Sus scrofa: one gene and its partners. The protein of the gene in region 1 purifies or fractionates together with the protein of each later gene. This does not show direct contact. Links are inferred from orthologs where the notes say so. Each region holds a gene or a part of one and is shown in the gene's direction. Other genes may lie near its edges.

Region 1 (6,169 bases):
GTACAACTACTGTGGAAAACATTATGGGAGATTTCTCAAAAATTAAAAATGGCAGTAGCATACAATCCAGAATTCCACTCCTGGGTATGTATCCAAAGAAAAGAAAAACACAAATTTGAAAAAATACACGCATGTCAATGTTCTGAGTAGCATTATTTACAATAGCCAATATATGGAAGCAACATGTGTCCATCAACAGATGAATAGTTTCAAAAATGTAGCCTATATATGTATACATACAATGGACTATTTCTTGGCCATAAAAAAGAATGAAATTTTACCAAATGTGACAACATAGATGGACCTGGAGGGCAGTATGCTTAGTGAAATGTCAGGCAGAGAAAGACAAATACTGTATGTTTTCACTGTTTTTTTTTTTTTAATGAGCACACTCATGGCATTTGGAAGTTCTCAGACTATGGGTCAAATCAGAATTGCATTTGCCAGCCTACACCACAGTCACACAACACCAGATCCAGGCTGAGACTGCAACCTATGCCACAGCTCACGGCAACACCAGATCCTTAACCCACTGAACGAGGCCAAGGATCAAATCATGTATAGTAGTCAGATTCATTAATGCTGAGCCACCATGGTAACTCTTGTATGTTTTCACTTTTATGAGGAATCTAAAAAATAAAGCAAACGATTAAATATAGCAAGGCAGCAGCAGTTCCACAGACACAGAGTAATGGACTAATGGGGGGAGGAGCAAATTGGGTCAGAGATTAAGAGGTTCAAACCACAAGGTATAAAATAGACAAGTAACAGGAATGTAATGTACAGCACAGTGAAATAGCCAATATTGTATAACAACATTATATGGAGTATAATCTATAAAAATATTACTAAATTGTATACTTGAAATTATTGTAAGTCGACTACAACAAAAAAGAAAAAATTAGAATTTTTTAAATGATAAGATCATTGCTTTGATAAGTCCTTTTTTTTTTTTCTTTTTTTGGCTGCCCCAAGGTATATGGTGTTCCTGGGCCAGGGAGAAGATCCAAGGCACAGTTTTGGCCTATGTTGCACCTGCAGCAACACTGGATCATTTAACCCACTGCACTGCACCAGGGACTGAACCTGCATCCTGGCGCTGCAGAGATGTCACGGATCCTCTTGTGCCACAGCAGGAATTTCCACCAGTCTTCTTTTTTTGTTGGCTTGTTTTTGTCTTTTTAGGGATACACCTGAGGCATATGAAGTTCCCTGCCTTCGCCACAGCAACAGCAACACAGGATCCAAGCCACATCTGTGACTTACACCAAAGGTCAAGGCGATGCCAGATACTTAACCCACTGGATTGAAGCTACATGCTCATGGATACTAGTAAGGTTCTTAGCCCATAGAGCCACAGTGGGAACTCCAATAAGTCCTATTTTTAAAGTCCTTGACAGATTTTGCCAAATCTCTTTCTAGAGAAACTGAACTCATCTCCATCCCCCTGGCCACTTGGCTGCACTCTCCTGAGTGTGAATGTTAACACTGTAGACATTCTGGGCTCATTTAAGGGTGAAAATATGACTCATTTAATAGTACTGAAGACTCTGTTATAGGTGGTACACTTCTACAAGTTTCCTTGAAGGGCAGTGAACCCTATGAGCAGCTACCCCTCTCCACTCTCCCCACCCCCATCCCTCCAGGAGCCCCCCCCCCGCCCCCCCCCGCTTTGCCAAGGTCATTGCCACACTCAGGGTCTAGATTCGGGGTTGTGCATGAAGTTAGACCTGGCACAGGGCAAGATGTGGCCAAGGTGATAGTCACAGAGAAGGACAGAGAAAGAAAATTTCCCTCCCAACTTCAGGTCCTGTGGCCCTAAACTGAATACAGGCGGAATTTTTAGTTGTCAGGTGACATGTCCTGAGGCTGCACTATTGAGACTAATGAAACAAATGACACTTTCTCTCCACTTCCCCTAAAATTGTCCCTTTCAGCCCAAAAGCCCTGTGACTGAGCAAGGGTCAGCCAGGCAGGGCTGAGCATGCTGACTCATAGCTGGAAGGTTGGATGACCCCTCAGGGACCAGGCACAATGGATGGAAAAGGAGGAGAAGAGGAGGAAGGCGAGCAGGGCTGGGTAGGCACCTCAGCCCCACCTCTCAGAGTCTTCTGTTCCCAAGACCCAGCTCCCTAGATACTCAGCACACCCTGCCTTACCCTGAAGCTCTGACATCAGCCCTCACCATGCTACCTACCCCATCCCCTGCCAGGGGCTCCAGTGCATAGGTGGTGATGGTGGCCCCATAGGAAAGACATGCCACTATTGAGTTCCCACAGAGGGGTGGCATGGTGGGTGGTCAGTGGGGGCAAAAGAAAGGAGAGACATTCATTGAGCACACGCAGCCACACACTCAGGTCTGTAGAAGTGTCTGGAGGCATTTGGTTGTTAAGTGACTTGGGGGGAGAAGGGTGGTGCTGACATCAGGTGCTGGAGACAGGGTGCCAAGGCAGAGTGGGACACACAGTCCAGTGAAAAATTGTTCTACCCAAGAAGCCTCTGCCCTCTACAAGAAAAATCGGAAGGAGAAAACGTAATACCCAAATTTTAGGTAGTGCATTTGTTTTCATTGGGCAATCTGCCACCTCTGTCTCCCATACTGGCTGGCATGGACTACTACTGTAGCCTTGACTCCCTGTTTCTTCAGTCCACCTGCCACCCTAACTAGTGGAGTTATTTGAAAGGTATGAACAACCACAGCCTTCCATAAAACCCTCCCATTCCCCTGCATTTACAATAAAACCCAAGCTTTCAACCTTGACAAGCAGAGCCCTGGAGCTCCCACCTGCACCCTTGGTCCTCACCCCTTGCTGAGCTCCAGCCACAATGGCTGGTCCCTTCTTTCCAGCCTAAGACCTCCATGCCTGCTCCCCATGCCTTCAGGTCTCAGCTCAAAGCTACCTCCTCCGGAGGCCCTCCTTGCCACCCAGGATGCCTCTCCCCCAATCTCTTCAGTATCTCACATAGCACCAGACCCACCCTCAGACGTCCTTTATCTGCCCCTCCCCCCAAGCTCTAAGTTCCCCAAAGGCAGCAGCAGAGGGACGCACAATAAGAGCTCAAAAAACAAGTGAAAAAGGAAAATAGGGGAGTTACCATTGTGACTCAGTGGTAACGAATCCGACTAGTATCCATGAGGATGTGGGTTCCATCCCTGGCGTTGCTCACTGGGTTAAGGATCCTGCGTTGCCAGGAGCTGTGGTATGTGGAGTTGCTATGGCTGTGATGTAGGCGGGTAGTTGCAGCTCCGATTCAACCTGTAGCCTGAGAACTATGCTGAGGGTGCAGCCCTAAACAGCAAAAAGAAAGAAGATAAATAGAAAAGAATTAATGGTTAGCAAGACCTCAAGGGCACGAGTATTGTTTTGGGGTTGGTTTCGTTTTTGGTTTTGGTTTTTGACTGCGCTCAGGACTGGAGGAAGTTCCCTGGCCAGGGATAGAAACTGCAGCAGCTACCTGCCCTGAGCCAACCCGCTGAGACACCAGAGAATTTCTGGAGTCGATTGTCTAGGGGTCAAATGAAAGCTGCAGCTGCCCGGCTTACACCACAGCCACAGCAACACCAGATCTGAGCTGCATCTGTGACCTACACTACAGCTCACGGCAATGCTAGAACCTTATCCCAGTGAGCGAGGCCAGCGGTGGAACCCACACCTTCATGGATGCTAGTCGGGTTCTTAACCTGCTGAGGCACAATGGGAACTCCCTGGAGTTGGTTTTTATCCCAACCCTGGCCCTTGAAATGTGAGGGCCATAGAGGAAACGCTAACAAGCTATTCACAGCAATTTTGGGGAGCTGGCAGGTGTTAGAGTGAGGTCAGCGGCTGTTGAGGCAGGGGACGCCGGAGCTCGCTGGACCCTCCCCGCGCCCCGCCCAGGCCCCACCCCCTGCCGCGCCGCGTCGCGCCCAGGCCCCGCCCTCACTTCCGCTTTGGAACCCTACAGGACTCGCATTTCCGGGAGCTCCGCGTGGATTTGGTTAGCCCGGTAGCAGGCTTAATGGCGGCTCTCGCTGCCCAGGTTGGGCCGCTCTTGTCCCTGAATCCGCAAGAAGATGCTAAGTTCCAGAAGAAGGTAGCGCTGGCTCGCCGTCGCGCAACCAAGGTGAGTGGCCTGCGCGGCCCCAACCGCGAGAGGAGGCGGCTGGCGCGCCCTGGGCCTTCTGCCCAGCGCGTCTCGGCAGCCCCACGCCTGTGCCTCAGCAGGGTCACCCTGGAGGCCCCGACCCCAGGAGACTCCGACCCCAGGAGACCCCGACCCCAGGAGACCCCGACCCCAGGAGACCGAGGTTTTCCCGAGAGGACCGAAAAATGAAGGGGTGGGTGTTGGGGTGACGATGGAAAAGAGGAGGCCAGCCGATGGGAGCGCCCCTTGTACCGCAGATCAGCCCCAGATCCGAAAGAGCGTTCTTTGGCTCTGCCCCTGTAGGGAAAATGTGGCCTCTGTTCACTGGCACTAGTTTGGGAGTCGGAGTTTTGAGGAAGAGAAAGAACAGTTTTATTGCTTTGCCAGGCAAAGGAGGACACGGCAGGCTAATGCCTCAAAGCTATGTCCTGACTTGAGAGGGGATAGCAAGGGGTTTTATAGGTTTAGCTCGGAAGACAGGATTATTGATTAAGATGTCTATGTTATTCTTAATCCATAGATCATTTCAAAGTAGTCAAATCCGGAGTCAGTCGGTTTGGTGATGGTTTCTGGTTGTCTTCAGGGTTATCGTCCCTTGACCTTCTCTCTGGAATAAAGACTGCTTAAGGGGAAGGGGTGTCAGAAGAGTGTTTCAATTATAAAAGAAAACATTAGGTGCAATATAACTCTGATTAGAAAGTAAACATTAGTAATAAGTTAGCAGACCAAGGCAGGACACAACATAATGGAGACTGTTTTAACTAGGTTTTAGCTGTAACAGTATTTTCTAATCATTAACTCTCGAGTCAGCCTTTTGAGACTGAGGGGAGGCCTGGGAGACTAAAGGAAAGGCCGTTTATTTCAAAACACAAAGATTTAGGGTCTGGTACATGGTTTCATCCCCAAATTGGGGAGGTTCGGTTGCCAGGTCCATGGTTTTGGAATCCTTAAGAGACAATTTTTGCCAGGCTTCATTTGCTTACGACTAGGGGCCCTGACATAAAGTTCTGTTTCCCAAAGGTTTTAGCATAAAATGCATTCCCGGAAAACTTAAAAGTCCTTATTATAGAAAACAAGGGTATGTTGGAGGTACTGTTAACTAACGTCTTAAAATAGTTGACTTAGGTGAGTACGAATTAAACGATGATCTGCAAAACTGTACTTATGTGGAGTTCTTAGGCCAGAAGATTTTGAATAATGCGTTCAAACCATTGATTCACCGTATACTTACTGAGCATTGACTTTGGGGGCCTGGAATGGGGACGCTGAGAAGACAGTCTCCTGCTTGACAATTGTCTTTGTGGGGAGATGGACATTAAACAGTTAATTTTTATATTCTGTTGTGCTAAGTGGAGATGCAGGGTAGGTTCTTATCTGTTGTCTTAGACTGAAAGCAGGGAGTTTTCACAGGATTTGTTGCAATGTGTTGTTGTTTCTTATTTAAAAAAATATTTGCCTGGTCTTGATGTCTTCAGCAACCAGAGAAACAAAAACTTACTCCTGGAGTAATCTATGTGGGCCACTTACCTCCATCGCTATATGAAACCCAGATCCGAGCATATTTCTCCCAGTTTGGCACTGTTACAAGATTGAGACTGTCCAGGAGTAAAAAGGTAAGTTTTTTTTGGATTGAGATAAGTTGTTTCATTTTCCAAAAGAATATCACCCTTGACAGTGTATGGAGCATGTTCCTTATTATCGCTCCCTCTAGAAAGGGGTGGAGCGAGAACTAGAACCTGAAACAGCTGTGAGAGCAAAATCACTATTCCTGTTAATGTTTTACTGTTTACAAAAAAAAAAAAGTGATTGCCTTAAGTCCTCAAATTAAATTGACTGTCCTAATAAGTGAGTCATATTTGTGCTGTGACTACTAAGCCCCATGTACATGAACTTCAGTTTGAGGAGCTGGTTCATAGTCCCTTTGTAAAAGCCTCTGATAGCGAAGGTTGGTCAGGTGCATCGTTAGAGTAAGGATGGAGCAAGGCTACATAGGTGTGAGGCCTGGCTCCACAGTTAACCAACTGTGTGGCTTTGGACAAGTTAT
Region 2 (5,957 bases), on another chromosome or scaffold:
TTTTTCCCCCCCATGCAGTTCTGAAACAGCTAGAAGAACTGCTGAGTGACATGAAAGCCGATGTGACTCGACTCCCAGCTACTATTGCCCGAATTCCCCCAGTTGCTGTGAGGCTACAGATGTCCGAGCGTAACATTCTCAGCCGCCTGGCAAACCGGGCACCTGAACCGACTCCACAGCAGGTATAGGACCATTTTCCTCTGGCCATCTGTTCCAGCAGAGCCACTCTGGAACTTGTAACGTTGCTGTCTGTCCCTGGCTTTACACATTGGGCAGGTGGGGCTGGTCCACCAGTGAGTTCCTTTGGGGTCAGGAGGGTTCCTGGGGTCTGACATTCTGACCCTCTTGGCTCTCTCTTTCTCTAGGTAGCCCAGCAGCAGTGAAGATCCAGATGGATGATACCACGTCCACCGCTGAGCAGTGACCTTCCTCACTTTCCCTTGCCCAGCTTCTCCCCTGGGGGCCTGAGAGACCCTCTCCTCCCTTCTGCCCCATCTTCCAAGCTGTAGAGGAACAGCCCCCAGTGCACTGGGGGAGGGGAGGGAGTGAGGGGCAGTGGTGCCCTTCCTGCTGGAGAGACATGCAGCAGTAGCGCCGGCGCCATCTGCAGGGAGCTGGCGGGCTGGCCTTTTGGGCCCTGGCTTCTCCCCACTGTAACGTCTGTTACACACAAACTGTTGTGGGTTCCCGCCAGGCTTGAAGAAAATGATCTGAATTTCTTCCTCCTTTTGGTTTTATTTTGTTGGTTTATTTTGTGTTTTCATTTCTCCTTTTTGGGGGGTATTCACAGTGGGCCGGGCCCCTGGGCGAGACACAGCTACCTCTGTTGGCATCTTTTTAATACCAGGAACCCAGCGGCTCCAGCCCCTGAGCGGCTAGAATGAAATAAAGTTGGAAAAAAAAAAAAAAAAAAAAAGGAAAAGAACCAAAAGCATAAAAAACCACAGCAAATTTCTTGACAAAAATTGAAAATAAAAGTTTCCTTGTATTTTAGTGCTCTGGTTCAGTGTGGGTGTAGGTGCAGGTGGGTGTGTCCGACGGGAGCCTTGGGACAGTGCAGCTGAAGACCAAGGGTTTCCTTGTGTCCTGAGACTCCACGAAATCTGGACTGTGCACCTACCCTCGTGCTCCGGCCGCCACCACCTGCACGCTGCGAGGAGCTCCGGAGCCCCCTGGGTTCACAGCCTAAGCCTGACTCCCAGCTTCGCGGCCGTCTCCAGGCTGTAGATGTCTGCTGTAGAGAATCAAAGGAGAATCTTCCTCGCAACATTGCGAAGACAAACCAGCGAAGTGCCGGAGCAGTTTTGAACAGCTGCTAAGCACCACCTTAGGGTTTATTTCAAGAAAGGCTGCTCTGGGTTTTCTGTTTGTGTGAAGTGAGAACACAAGATGCCGTCCTCCCGACCTCTCGTATGGGAACCAAGGCAGAGAGTTCCCTTACCTGAGGGGCAGCGCGGGGTATGGTGTCAAGGAAGAAGGTTTCAAAGTCACAGGACTTGGGAGTGGGTGCGACCTTGAGACGTGGGGCGAAAGAGGGTCCGGCTCTGACGCCTCCGTCCGAAGGGAGGGGCCGTCTTTTGGGTACCAGTTTTTCGGACGAAATCCGCCATAAGGCGTAAGGCCCACATCTGGAGGGAAGGGCGGGGAAGCTAAAGGCGTCCCCCTACGCGCCGCCTTCTCCACCTGGGAGAGAGCAGAGCGGTCCTCCCCGGCCGCCCTCTGCACCGCCTGCCCCGCGCGGCCGCGCGAATGAAACTTCCGGCTTCCGCGGCGGACGGGAAGCCCGGAAGAGGCGGGGCCTCAGCGGGCGCGCTGTGCGCTTGCGCGAGACGTTCCCGTGGTGTGGCGTCGGAGCGCCAGCCCCGCACCACACGTGGAGTGCTGTCGCTGCTTCCTAGGGCCTTCTCGGGACTGGACCCGCTTCCAGGTGAGCTGCAGCTTCGGGCGGGTCTTCTGCAGGAAGTCGAGGAAGGAAGGGTGAGGCGTCCACTTGGACCGGGGCGTGGGAAGGGGACGTTGTACCAGCGGTGTGGGACCCAGGGCCCGGGGCTCAGCGTGTAGTGGAGGTGTGGCCAGGCCTCGAGGGGCAGTGGGGCTGCTGAGTCGAGGTTCTCGTCAAGGCAGTGCCCTTTTCCACTTCAACTTGCTTCGTCTGCTCTCTGCCTTTCCCGGACAACACGCGCCACTCTACTGTCTCTCGTTTTTGTTTTCCTCAGTACCATGGGGCGCAAATTGGACCCTACGAAGGAGAAACGCGGGCCGGGCCGAAAGGCCCGAAAGCAGAAAGGTGCTGAGACCGAACTCGTCAGATTCTTGCCTGCAGGTAAGGGTCAGGCGTGCCCGTCCCCTTCCGATTCTCTAGCTTTTGCGCCGTTCTTCCATCTGTAGTGTAATCCCTCAGTTTTTTAGATTGTGTGTTCATGAGTTATTAGGAAGTAAATATGAATGGAACAATCTCATAAACGTTTAGAAATTAGGGAAGATGTGACGGGCACAAGTTCCCATGCAAGGAGATGTGTGGTTTAATGTTTAGGGCCTTCAGAGGAAGCAGGATTCCACGGAGTTGCCAAGTTTGAAAAGATTTTGTGACTTTTTTTTTTTTTTTTTGGCCGTCTCGGCAGCATGTGGAAGTTCCCAGGCCAGGGAGCGAATCCAAACTGGAGCTGTGACCTACCATACTGATCGTTAAGCGACTGCACCACAGCAGGAACTTCCAAGAAGTTGGGTTTTGCACTAAGCTCTTCTTAGATGACCTGCTTCTGTGTGGGGGTTTCATAGGTAGCCATGCAGCTCCCTTGGTGTGATCTATTGAAAATCAGCCCTGGACACAAAAGATTGTAAGACAAAAAAAGAAGAGAAGGAGAAAAAAGAAGTTGGGTTTTGAGAAGTGGGTGACATTTTAGCAGGTGGAAGTTGGGAACGGGACAGTCCAGTCACTGTGAACTGCATTGTAGAGGAGATGGGAAGGCACAGAGCTGGCTCCCACTTGGTCAGGAGTCTACTGCAGGTAGTTTGTGTTGAGTATTGTCTAAAAGATGCAGTTTATTGAAGTATAGGTAAGTGGTAAATACAATGCTGAACCCGCTGGACACATTATATCACTTCATTCTCTGTGTCCTGTGAGAGAGGCACTGCCGAGGAAATGGATGCTGAGAGGTTAATTTGTATAGTTATAAAATGATAGTGCTTTATGGAGTTCCAGTCTTGGTGCAGTGGAAATGAATCCGACTGGGAACCATGAGATTGCGGGTTCGATCCCTGGCCTTGCTCAGTGGGTTAAGGATCCGGTGCTGCCCTAAGCTGTGGTGTAGTTTGCAGACATGGCTAGGATCTGGCGTTGCTGTGGCTGTGGTGTAGGCTGGCAGCAACAGCTCTGATTGGACCCCTAGCCTGGGAACCTCCATAAGCCGCCTCCGGTGCAGCCCTAAAAAAAGGACAAAAGGAAAAAAAAAAAAAATAGGAGGGCTTTAAACTTTCTATTTCTTGGAGAATATAGGAAAAGCAGTAGTTTTGAAATCTGTGGTTGGCAACTGATTAGATAAAAGAAAGGGCAGAAGAAAGATTTGAAAGTTTCAGAATGGCGATGATGCTATTTTTTGAAATCAGTCTGGAGGGAGGCCCAGTTTGGATTTGGTTGATGAGCAGCCAGATGGCGATCAGCTCCTTTACATCTCTTTACCCGGCTCCCTGTAGAGCACAGTGGAGTGAGTTACAATCTCTTCCCTTTAACTACTGTCCTAATTCTCTGCCCTTTTATTTTCTCTCCTGCTTTTTATTTTCTCATAACCTCCTCTCTTCCTTTTTTTGATTTTTTAAACAGCTGGTGATGAAAATTCCAAGAGGCTGTCCAGTCGTGCTCGAAAGAGGTGAGTGTAGGAGTCCTGTCGTGGTTCAGTGGAAACGAATCCTACTAGCATCCTTAAGGATGCAGGTTCAATCCTTGGACTCGCTCAGTGGGTTAAGGATCCAGTGTTGCCATGAGCTGTGGCATAGGTTGCAGACGAGGCTCGGATCTGGCGTGGCTGTGGCTGTGGTGTATGCCGGTGGCTACAGCCATGTGCCTCAGGTGCGGCCCTAAAAAGACCAAAAAAAAAAAAAAAAAAAAAAAGGAAAGAAAGAGGTGAGTGTGAATGTCCACATTTATGTTACACAGGCAGATTAAATTGGTCCTGCTCATCTTTGGGCACATGATCCCATGTGACCCTGCTGATGGAAAGGGCTCTTTGGGGACTGTCATGGTTCCCTGCAGTGGGAAGTGGCAGAGCCTGGAGGGGTATTCCATTTCCTTACTCCTTATGTCTTTTCAGGGCAGCCAAGAGGAGGTTGGGCTCTGCTGAAGTCCGTGAGACAAATAAATCCCCTGGGGCCAGACCATTGCCTGGAAAGCTACCAAAAGGTCAGTGAAAATAGGAGCTGGGTGCTATGTGAGGAGTACACTGGGTCCTGGGTAGGGAAGAGCTTGCTGATCATTTCTGGAGTGAAAGGAACAGCCAAAGGACATTTGTGGGGGTAGAGAGTACAGGCCTCATTAATGTGTGACTGCTCTCAGCCCGGTATTCAAACCCTTTGGGATCTCTGCAGGAGCCGTCCAGACACCGAGTAAGAAGGGAGCCCTGTCCTTATTTAATGCTGCTCAAGGCAAGAAGCGCCCAGCATCAGCCTATAGCAGTGAGGAGGAGGGAGAGGAGGAAGACTCTGAAGAGGGTGGTGTGGTGAACGAGGGGGACCTCTGGGGCTCTGAGGACAGTGATGCCGATATGGTAGATGACTATGGAGCCAACTCCAGTTCAGAGGACGAAGAAGAGGATGACAGTGAAGAGGTGAGCTCTGTCTCTCTGGGTCTCCAGGAAGCGATCTTTGCCTTTTTGAGTCTTTCCAGATCGTTGAGACTGACTGTCCCTTGGTGACGAGGATAAGCCTGTGTAGAGGACAAGGATTTTATTTGGTATCTGTGAACCTCAAAAAGATTTTTTCTTTGGGGAGTTGCCGTTGTGGCTCAGTGGTTAACTAATCCGACTAGGAACCAGAGGTTGCGGGTTCGATCCCTGGCCTTGCTCAGTGGGTTAAGGATCTGATGTTGCCATGAGCTGTGGTGTAGGTTGCAGACGCGGCTCGGATCCTGTGTTGCTGTGGCTCCGGCGTAGGCCGGCAGCTGTAGCTCTGATTTGACCCCTGGCCTGGGAACCTCCATATGCCGTGGGAACAGCCCAAGAAATGTCAAACAGACAAAAAAAAAAGATTTTTTTCTTTTGACTTGGTGATTCTGTCCTAGGAAGAGGATCCAAAACGTAGACAACGATTTATTTACTGAAGTAGGAGAAGTTATTATGTACTGTACAGTTAGTATGTGAGTGTGTAATTAGGAAAATTGAAGCAATTTCTTTGTATGGAATACAAAGAAAGTCCCCACTTGCACCTTTGTCCCACAACCCCCCCCTTTACAGAGCTACTATTTTGAGACTTAGAGGCACCATGTGGACCATAACGCCAAAACTCTGGAAACTTCCAAATGCCCAATATGCTTAAGTTAATTGTGGTTTATTCGTATGCTAATTAACAGTTGGCCGTTATGTTTGTGAAAATGCTTGTGATCTAACTATGAAAAAAGTCAAGAAACACTCTTGAAAATGCGTAATGATTTTAACTGCGTGAGAAACGTGGAGTAGGTCTGGAGGAGGATATGGCAAAGTGGGTATCCAAGGGCAATTTTTGTCCCCCACACCTGTGTACAAACAGGAATGGAAAGAAAAGTACAACGAACCCTTTCAATCTGTCGCTGTAGTTCACTGATGGTAGATATTGTGCCAGTCTTATATATTCCTATTTTCAGAGTCTATTTCTTTTTTGGAGCAAGAGTTATAGTTGTATTTAGGAAAAAATAAAATAACAGAGGCCGGAAGTATTATGTGGGCTGGCGGAAGGACAGGCCTTGCGGCACCAGCCCCTTGTGTCTTTTT
Region 3 (5,870 bases), on another chromosome or scaffold:
GAAATGCCATATGTAGCTTTTTTTGGACACATACAAGGCACTTCATACATTGAACTTTATACAATGCATATGACCAAGACAAACCACAGTATACTTCACTTCTCTTAGCATAACATGGTTGATTCAATAGCTGAAATATCCAGCCTATGGTATCTGTGGAAAAGCTTTAGTTTCTTGGGAAAAATAAAAGCTCATTAGAAACACTACAAGAAAATCTCCTTAGGATTTTTGCCTAACCAGACAATGTCCAGTTATGGGAGAAGCAGGGTAACCTGTTAGCATATTCACTAAAGTAATGCATGCCTTAAAATGTATACTCCAATGTTTATACACTTAAAAGTTCCTGAATTTAATTCAGTAGATGACTCAATATCCTTTAAAACCAACTGCCCTCTCCCAATGTCCCCATTTTTTTCAGTGGTGCCATGACCCACACATCGACACAAACTGAAAATCTTTATCCTCCACGCTGGTAAATTCATTTTTGTCAGAGGGAATTTTGTACCTGGAAAGATATCACCACTAACTGTAAGTCATGTAATGTCCAATTTATTGATCTTAAAAAGGTATCAATTAGCATTCTTTTAACCATTACACTGTCAACATTTCCCATATTAATCACATACTACCTAAACAACAGATGAGTCGATATTTAGGAATTTACAAAAAAAAATTTCCCCAATTATGAAAAGAGATTACAGATAGAAACACTCGTAAGAATTTAATTCAAATCTCAAGTCTGATACAGATTTAAGAGTTCTAAAAAGGACCCACAAAATATAACAAAATTGATTATCTTTACATCAGAACTGGCTGCAAGGTGTGAATATCACAGATTTAACTTTGTCTTGTATTTTATTCCATGATCATTCTCACGCCTTCTCAATGGTCCAGTTTTAACATACATTTCGAGGGCTCCAGTTAACTCAGCAAATAAAATTTTACACCTCCCTAGGTTTAAGGACCTTACCATACCCACGCTGCCTGCAACAAAAGAATGCAATTTCTGACCAACTTAAGGTCCAGAGTTGTCAACCCATCGGTTTGGCATGGGGATCTGGGACGTGGCTACGCGGTCAACTCACACCAGACGTGCTGGCGTCAGATTCCTCACTTTTCATTTCCAAAGTCAGATTTCTCTCTTTTCATTTCCAGGTGTTGGGGAAAAGTGCTATTGCTATTATGGGGCCATTTGCGTGTGATAGAGCTGAAAACAAATACTGCTTTAAGGTCATGAAATCACACTGATTTCTTCGATGTAAAAGTCGTATACAGTATTTTACTCCTTTCCAAGGTGATTTGTCAACTACTCTACTAACGGTGCTTCCAAAACTGACATTTCATATAGCCAATTATAAACTGTCAATTTTAATTTAAAAATACTTATTGTGCAAACCTTTCCTCGGCCTCCTCCTCACTCCTAGCCCAGCCACCCTCACCCACGGCCCGCGGCTGCACAGCAGCCTCCGCGTGAGGCTCCCGGGTACCGGGCTGCGAGGACGCCGGTTCGCGAGCCCGCCCTGCTCGACGGGAGCATCTCCAGGGCCACCAGCCTGGCGTACAGGTTCAGGCAACGCTAGCCTGGCCGATCGCTGAGAGAGTGGGAAAACCAGAAAAGCATCTTCTCGCCTCGCCTCGGTCCGCTCCTCCTGGGGGCCTAGGTTCCGGCATCCTCTAAAAGCCCTTGTTAGTGCGCAGGCAGCTGGAACGCGGCGGTAGGAAACGACGCAGAGAGGGCGACGTTCGAGCGCGCGGCCGCGGCCCGCTCAGGCCCCGCTCAGGCCCCGCCCTCGAGACAAGCTTGCATTTCTTGCGGCGCGCGCCGTGGACGTCACAGCCTCTCCCCCCGCCCACCCTTCCAGGTGACCCGGAAATTGTACTTGCGACGCCGCTTTCCTTCTCCCACAAACCCTTGCGCTCTTCCTTTCCAACCAGGGCCGGGGAAAGTGAGTATGGGTGCTGGCTCCCAGCTTGAGGAATCCGGCGCCATCCTCGCCTGGGATTGTGTCGAATGAAACAGGGGGCTCTCTCCTGAGCCGACCTGGGCCTCCGCGTTCCAGGGGCACGGGAGTCTGCGTTGCGTTTAAGGGCTCCCGGAGCCTGTGAGGGAGAGTGGCCGGCTTAGGAGAGCCGGGGCTGCAGGGGGTTCCGGGGGCGGGGGCGTCTAAGGGCGCAGACGTGCCGTGGCCCGCCGGGCTTTTCCCAGACGTGGGCCTTCAGGGACCTGGCCGGACTCTCTGCCCCTGGAAGCGTCCCGAGGCCAGGCCGGGAGGAAGGACTTGGCTTGGGTTTGTCCCACTCACTCTGAGCCTCCTTGTCGCCTGGGTCTAGATGGCTCCCGCAAAGAAGGGTGGCGAGAAGAAGAAGGGCCGGTCCGCCATCAACGAGGTGGTAACCAGGGAGTACACGATCAACATTCACAAGCGCATCCATGGCGTGTGAGTAATGCCTGCGTTCGGCCAGTGTCTTCTGACCGCGCGGGGTCTAGAAATGAACCGTTTCTTCAAGAGCCCAAGTCTTTACTGCATAGACCTTATCGAAGGCTGTTTGTAGGGTTTAAAGCGAAATGGAGGTTAACGCCTAAATAAGGGTTCTGGGAAGCCTACTTGGGGAGATGCGGTGGTAAATCGATGCTACTTCTTGCTGTGTTGATCGAATTAAACCCGGCAGGTCTAGGGGTGAGACGTGTGTGTGAGGATGAGTAGACCTTTTCACTGTCTCCAGAGTCCAGTAAAGTCAACCAGGTAACTAAAAACGCCAGGTCCGGCCCAGAGTCCGAACATTGCAATGGGGTAATTTTAGTTCTCCCACCCACACAGCTAAGTACTAAGTAATATTGGTCCAGTTGTGGTGCTGGATGTGGAAGTTCTGGAGAGGCCAGAGAAGAAAGTGTTCTGAAGTTAGCGGGCAGTGGTTTGTGGAGAAGACGCTGGCTGCATATGTGATATACAAGGACGTTGGGAATGACTGTGAATGTCGTAGTTCTTGATTTTCCTCCCTGGGGTGTGGTTTTTATAGTTCTTTGTTTATTTTTATTTTGTCTTTTTAGGGCCGCACCCGGCATGTGGAAGTTCCCAGGCTAGGGGTCCAATCAGAGCTGTAGCCACCAGCCTATACCACAGCCACAGCAACGCAGGATCCGAGCCTGGCCTGCAACCTACAGCACAGCTCTTGGCAACGCTGGATCCTTAACCCACTGAGCGGGCCCAGGGATCGAACCTGCCTCTTCATGGATGCTAGTCGGATTCGTTTTTAGTTCTTGAGCTTTGTGCGTGTTCCCCCTTTTATGCACACGGTGCTGACTAGTAATAACAGACCAAATCCATCGAGTGCTGTTATTTGGAGTGTTTTTAAGAGCCAGGGTGGTGCTGCAAAATACTCAGGCACCAGTCTGGGGAGCAACTTGTCTGGGCATTCTCATCTCAGGACAACTGATTTTCGAAAGGGATTTAAATGTGTGGCACTGTCTCTTAGCCCTGGCGTTTCCAGCCAAGCGTTGGCCATGTGTGAAGCCTGAGGTCTCTGGGGGTTTCTGGGTCAACGGTGCCCTTTTTGTGCATTACTGCAGCTTGTAACCACATTCTCTCCTCCCACCCCGTTATTGGGGCACGAATGTGTTCACTGGGGGGCATGTTAAGCACTTAACTGTGTCTGGGGCTCTGCGGATTCACAAGGGAACCAAAGATCCTGCCTTCCGAGTTTCCTTGGTGGGGAAGTTAGGGAAGTATCCAGCTATAAAATGGTAGAAAGTGCCAGATGGTGAGTAAGTCACAGGTGAAAGGGGCGGTGGTTTAAAGGTCAGACAACTGGGAATTGGAAGAGTGGGCTTGAGCCATTGCAGGTGGATGAGATTTGGGGGCATTTTGCCGCAAAGGCTTTAACTGAAGATGTGTGCAGAGCAGTCTTTTGGTCTTTTTTTAGTTCTTACTTGATTGGCAGCAACTGAGAGTCCTTTGTTCATTTTACTTCCCGAAGATTCCATGGTTTTGTTTTTCTTTTGCTTCTCTAGCTGTTCCTCAGTCTGCTCTGTCCCTCCTCACTGCCCATCCTCTTAATGTTGAGTCCAGGGCTCAGGTCCTCCATTTTCTGCCTATACTTGGTAATAACAACTAGTTTTAGGGCCTCACATGCCCAGCTGCTTTTGAAACGTATTACCTGGGTGTTTAATAGGCATCTCTAGCTTTACCTTCCCCCAGACCAGCCCCCTGGGGTCCATCTTCACCCCTGGCCCTCCCACTGCCCCATGGCCTCCCCCCCCCCCCCAATCACTGGCCTGTGGGCATGTCCTCTGGGCTCAGCCTTCCACAATCTGCCTGCGCTGGTCCCTCCACCCAGACACCTGGTCTCTTCTCAAACCCTCTATCGGCAGAAAAGCCATGTTCCTGCTGTGATTCCTCATGAATTGACCACTTTCTTAATCATACCAGGCCAGGCAGTATCTGAGTCTGAGTAGCAGTTTGGTTTTAGTTTCACTTTTTCCCCTGCCTTGGTGTTTTTCTTGCAGACAGCTTGGTAGCTGTCCTTGTCATCTCTGGATCTTGCTGGGGTTTTTTAAACCTGCAGCCCCTTCCCTAATGCTTTCTCCTTTCACTGCTTTATTTTTCTCTGTAGCACTTGATACCATCTGAGTGTCACCCATATAAACCACGTGAAAAATGGGCTTTAAGTGAATGAAGCCAGCTGGCATGATGGGTTTGGGGAGGCTGAGAGGGTAGAGCGAAGGGAGACTTGATAGCACGGCCCCTCCTGTCATTTACAGTGGGGGGATCACCTCTTTACACTTTGGTTTCTGCCCCACTTGGAATAGCTTTCACTTAGCAAATGTGTAACTGATTCAGCCTGTAATAAAGTTTGGTTTTTCCACATTTAACTTACAACATGGAATTCAAAAAGATTTATGTATTCTTATCAAAACCACAGGTTAATAGTGCCTGACACATGCCCTGGAATCTGTAGAATTAACTGTTGCCCTCGACGTATTTCTTGAAACTGGTACATTTCAGACCCCTGCTCTTTAAGACCAAGCTATTAGCGAACTTTTAGTGTTCAATGATTTCCGGAAACATGGCTTGTCTTAGGATGTGACAGATAATCTTAATTGTATTTTAGCTTGAGGACACTTAATTTACCTCAGTGTTGGATATTGTATGTTCAGGCTTATGCTAACCACATTCTTTGATTATATTTTCCCTGGCAGAGAGTATTAGATATTAGAGCATAGGAGTGTTTATCAGGAAAGTGTTGGTCAGTGTGTATGTTAGCATCTCTTAATGGTCATATATAGTCTTTGTTCTACATTATTGAAAGTAGATTGTGCATCTTCTGTGCCCCAAGTATTACACTAGTTCTATTTTTTCCACATGCTGTAGGGGAAAAGAACTGTTTCTGCCTTGTTCCAGGTTTAGATTTGTTTGATGAAAATAGGATAATGCTATACTGTATATTTCATTTAATTTTGTACTCATTCATTTACTTGTGTTTGGATCTCAGGGGTTTTAAGAAGCGTGCCCCTCGGGCACTCAAAGAAATCCGTAAATTTGCCATGAAGGAGATGGGAACTCCGGATGTGCGCATCGACACCAGGCTCAACAAAGCCGTCTGGGCCAAAGGAATAAGGTGCTCAAGTTGTGTGTGTGCCTCCACTCCACTCAGTTAAGCAGCTCACTCTGCACAACTTATACAGACTGAACTCTATATAAGTTCAGTCACTAATGCACACGCATAAGGAAGTATTTTTTTCCAAATATGACAATGGTTCAAAGGCAAGGTAGCATCTGCAGGGAAGCCTTTTGACCTGGTATTTAAACTCAGTAAGTGGTGAAGGAGCCAAGCAGTGTGAGGGTCAGGTAAGAGCAGCACACTTGGTGTGA

What was found.
Region 2: the proteins of NIFK (region 1) and NOP2 fractionate together in Homo sapiens (co-fractionation; 3 studies listed by BioGRID, with this or other methods). This does not show direct contact. The link is inferred for Sus scrofa from reciprocal best matches to the Homo sapiens genes NIFK and NOP2.
Region 3: the proteins of NIFK (region 1) and RPL31 fractionate together in Homo sapiens (co-fractionation; 3 studies listed by BioGRID and IntAct, with this or other methods). This does not show direct contact. The link is inferred for Sus scrofa from reciprocal best matches to the Homo sapiens genes NIFK and RPL31.

The regions. Positions count from the first base shown.
Region 1 is NC_010457.5:29,717,005-29,723,173, forward strand, and holds the start of NIFK (MKI67 FHA domain-interacting nucleolar phosphoprotein), read left to right. Parts: upstream 1-2,019; 5' UTR 2,020-2,034; coding exon 2,035-2,079; intron 2,080-3,945; coding exon 3,946-4,104; intron 4,105-5,600; coding exon 5,601-5,738; intron 5,739-6,169.
Region 2 is NC_010447.5:64,104,282-64,110,238, forward strand, and holds the start of NOP2 (probable 28S rRNA (cytosine(4447)-C(5))-methyltransferase), read left to right. Parts: upstream 1-1,927; intron 1,928-2,216; coding exon of another isoform or gene 2,217-2,220; coding exon 2,221-2,323; intron 2,324-3,820; coding exon 3,821-3,866; intron 3,867-4,307; coding exon 4,308-4,396; intron 4,397-4,581; coding exon 4,582-4,820; intron 4,821-5,957. Other genes in the region: CHD4 (chromodomain-helicase-DNA-binding protein 4), read left to right, coding at 19-182, 366-383. UniProt on the Homo sapiens protein: S-adenosyl-L-methionine-dependent methyltransferase that specifically methylates the C(5) position of cytosine 4447 in 28S rRNA. Required for efficient rRNA processing and 60S ribosomal subunit biogenesis.
Region 3 is NC_010445.4:53,291,358-53,297,227, reverse strand, and holds the start of RPL31 (60S ribosomal protein L31), read left to right. Parts: upstream 1-1,840; 5' UTR 1,841-1,946; intron 1,947-2,331; coding exon 2,332-2,438; intron 2,439-5,490; coding exon 5,491-5,616; intron 5,617-5,870.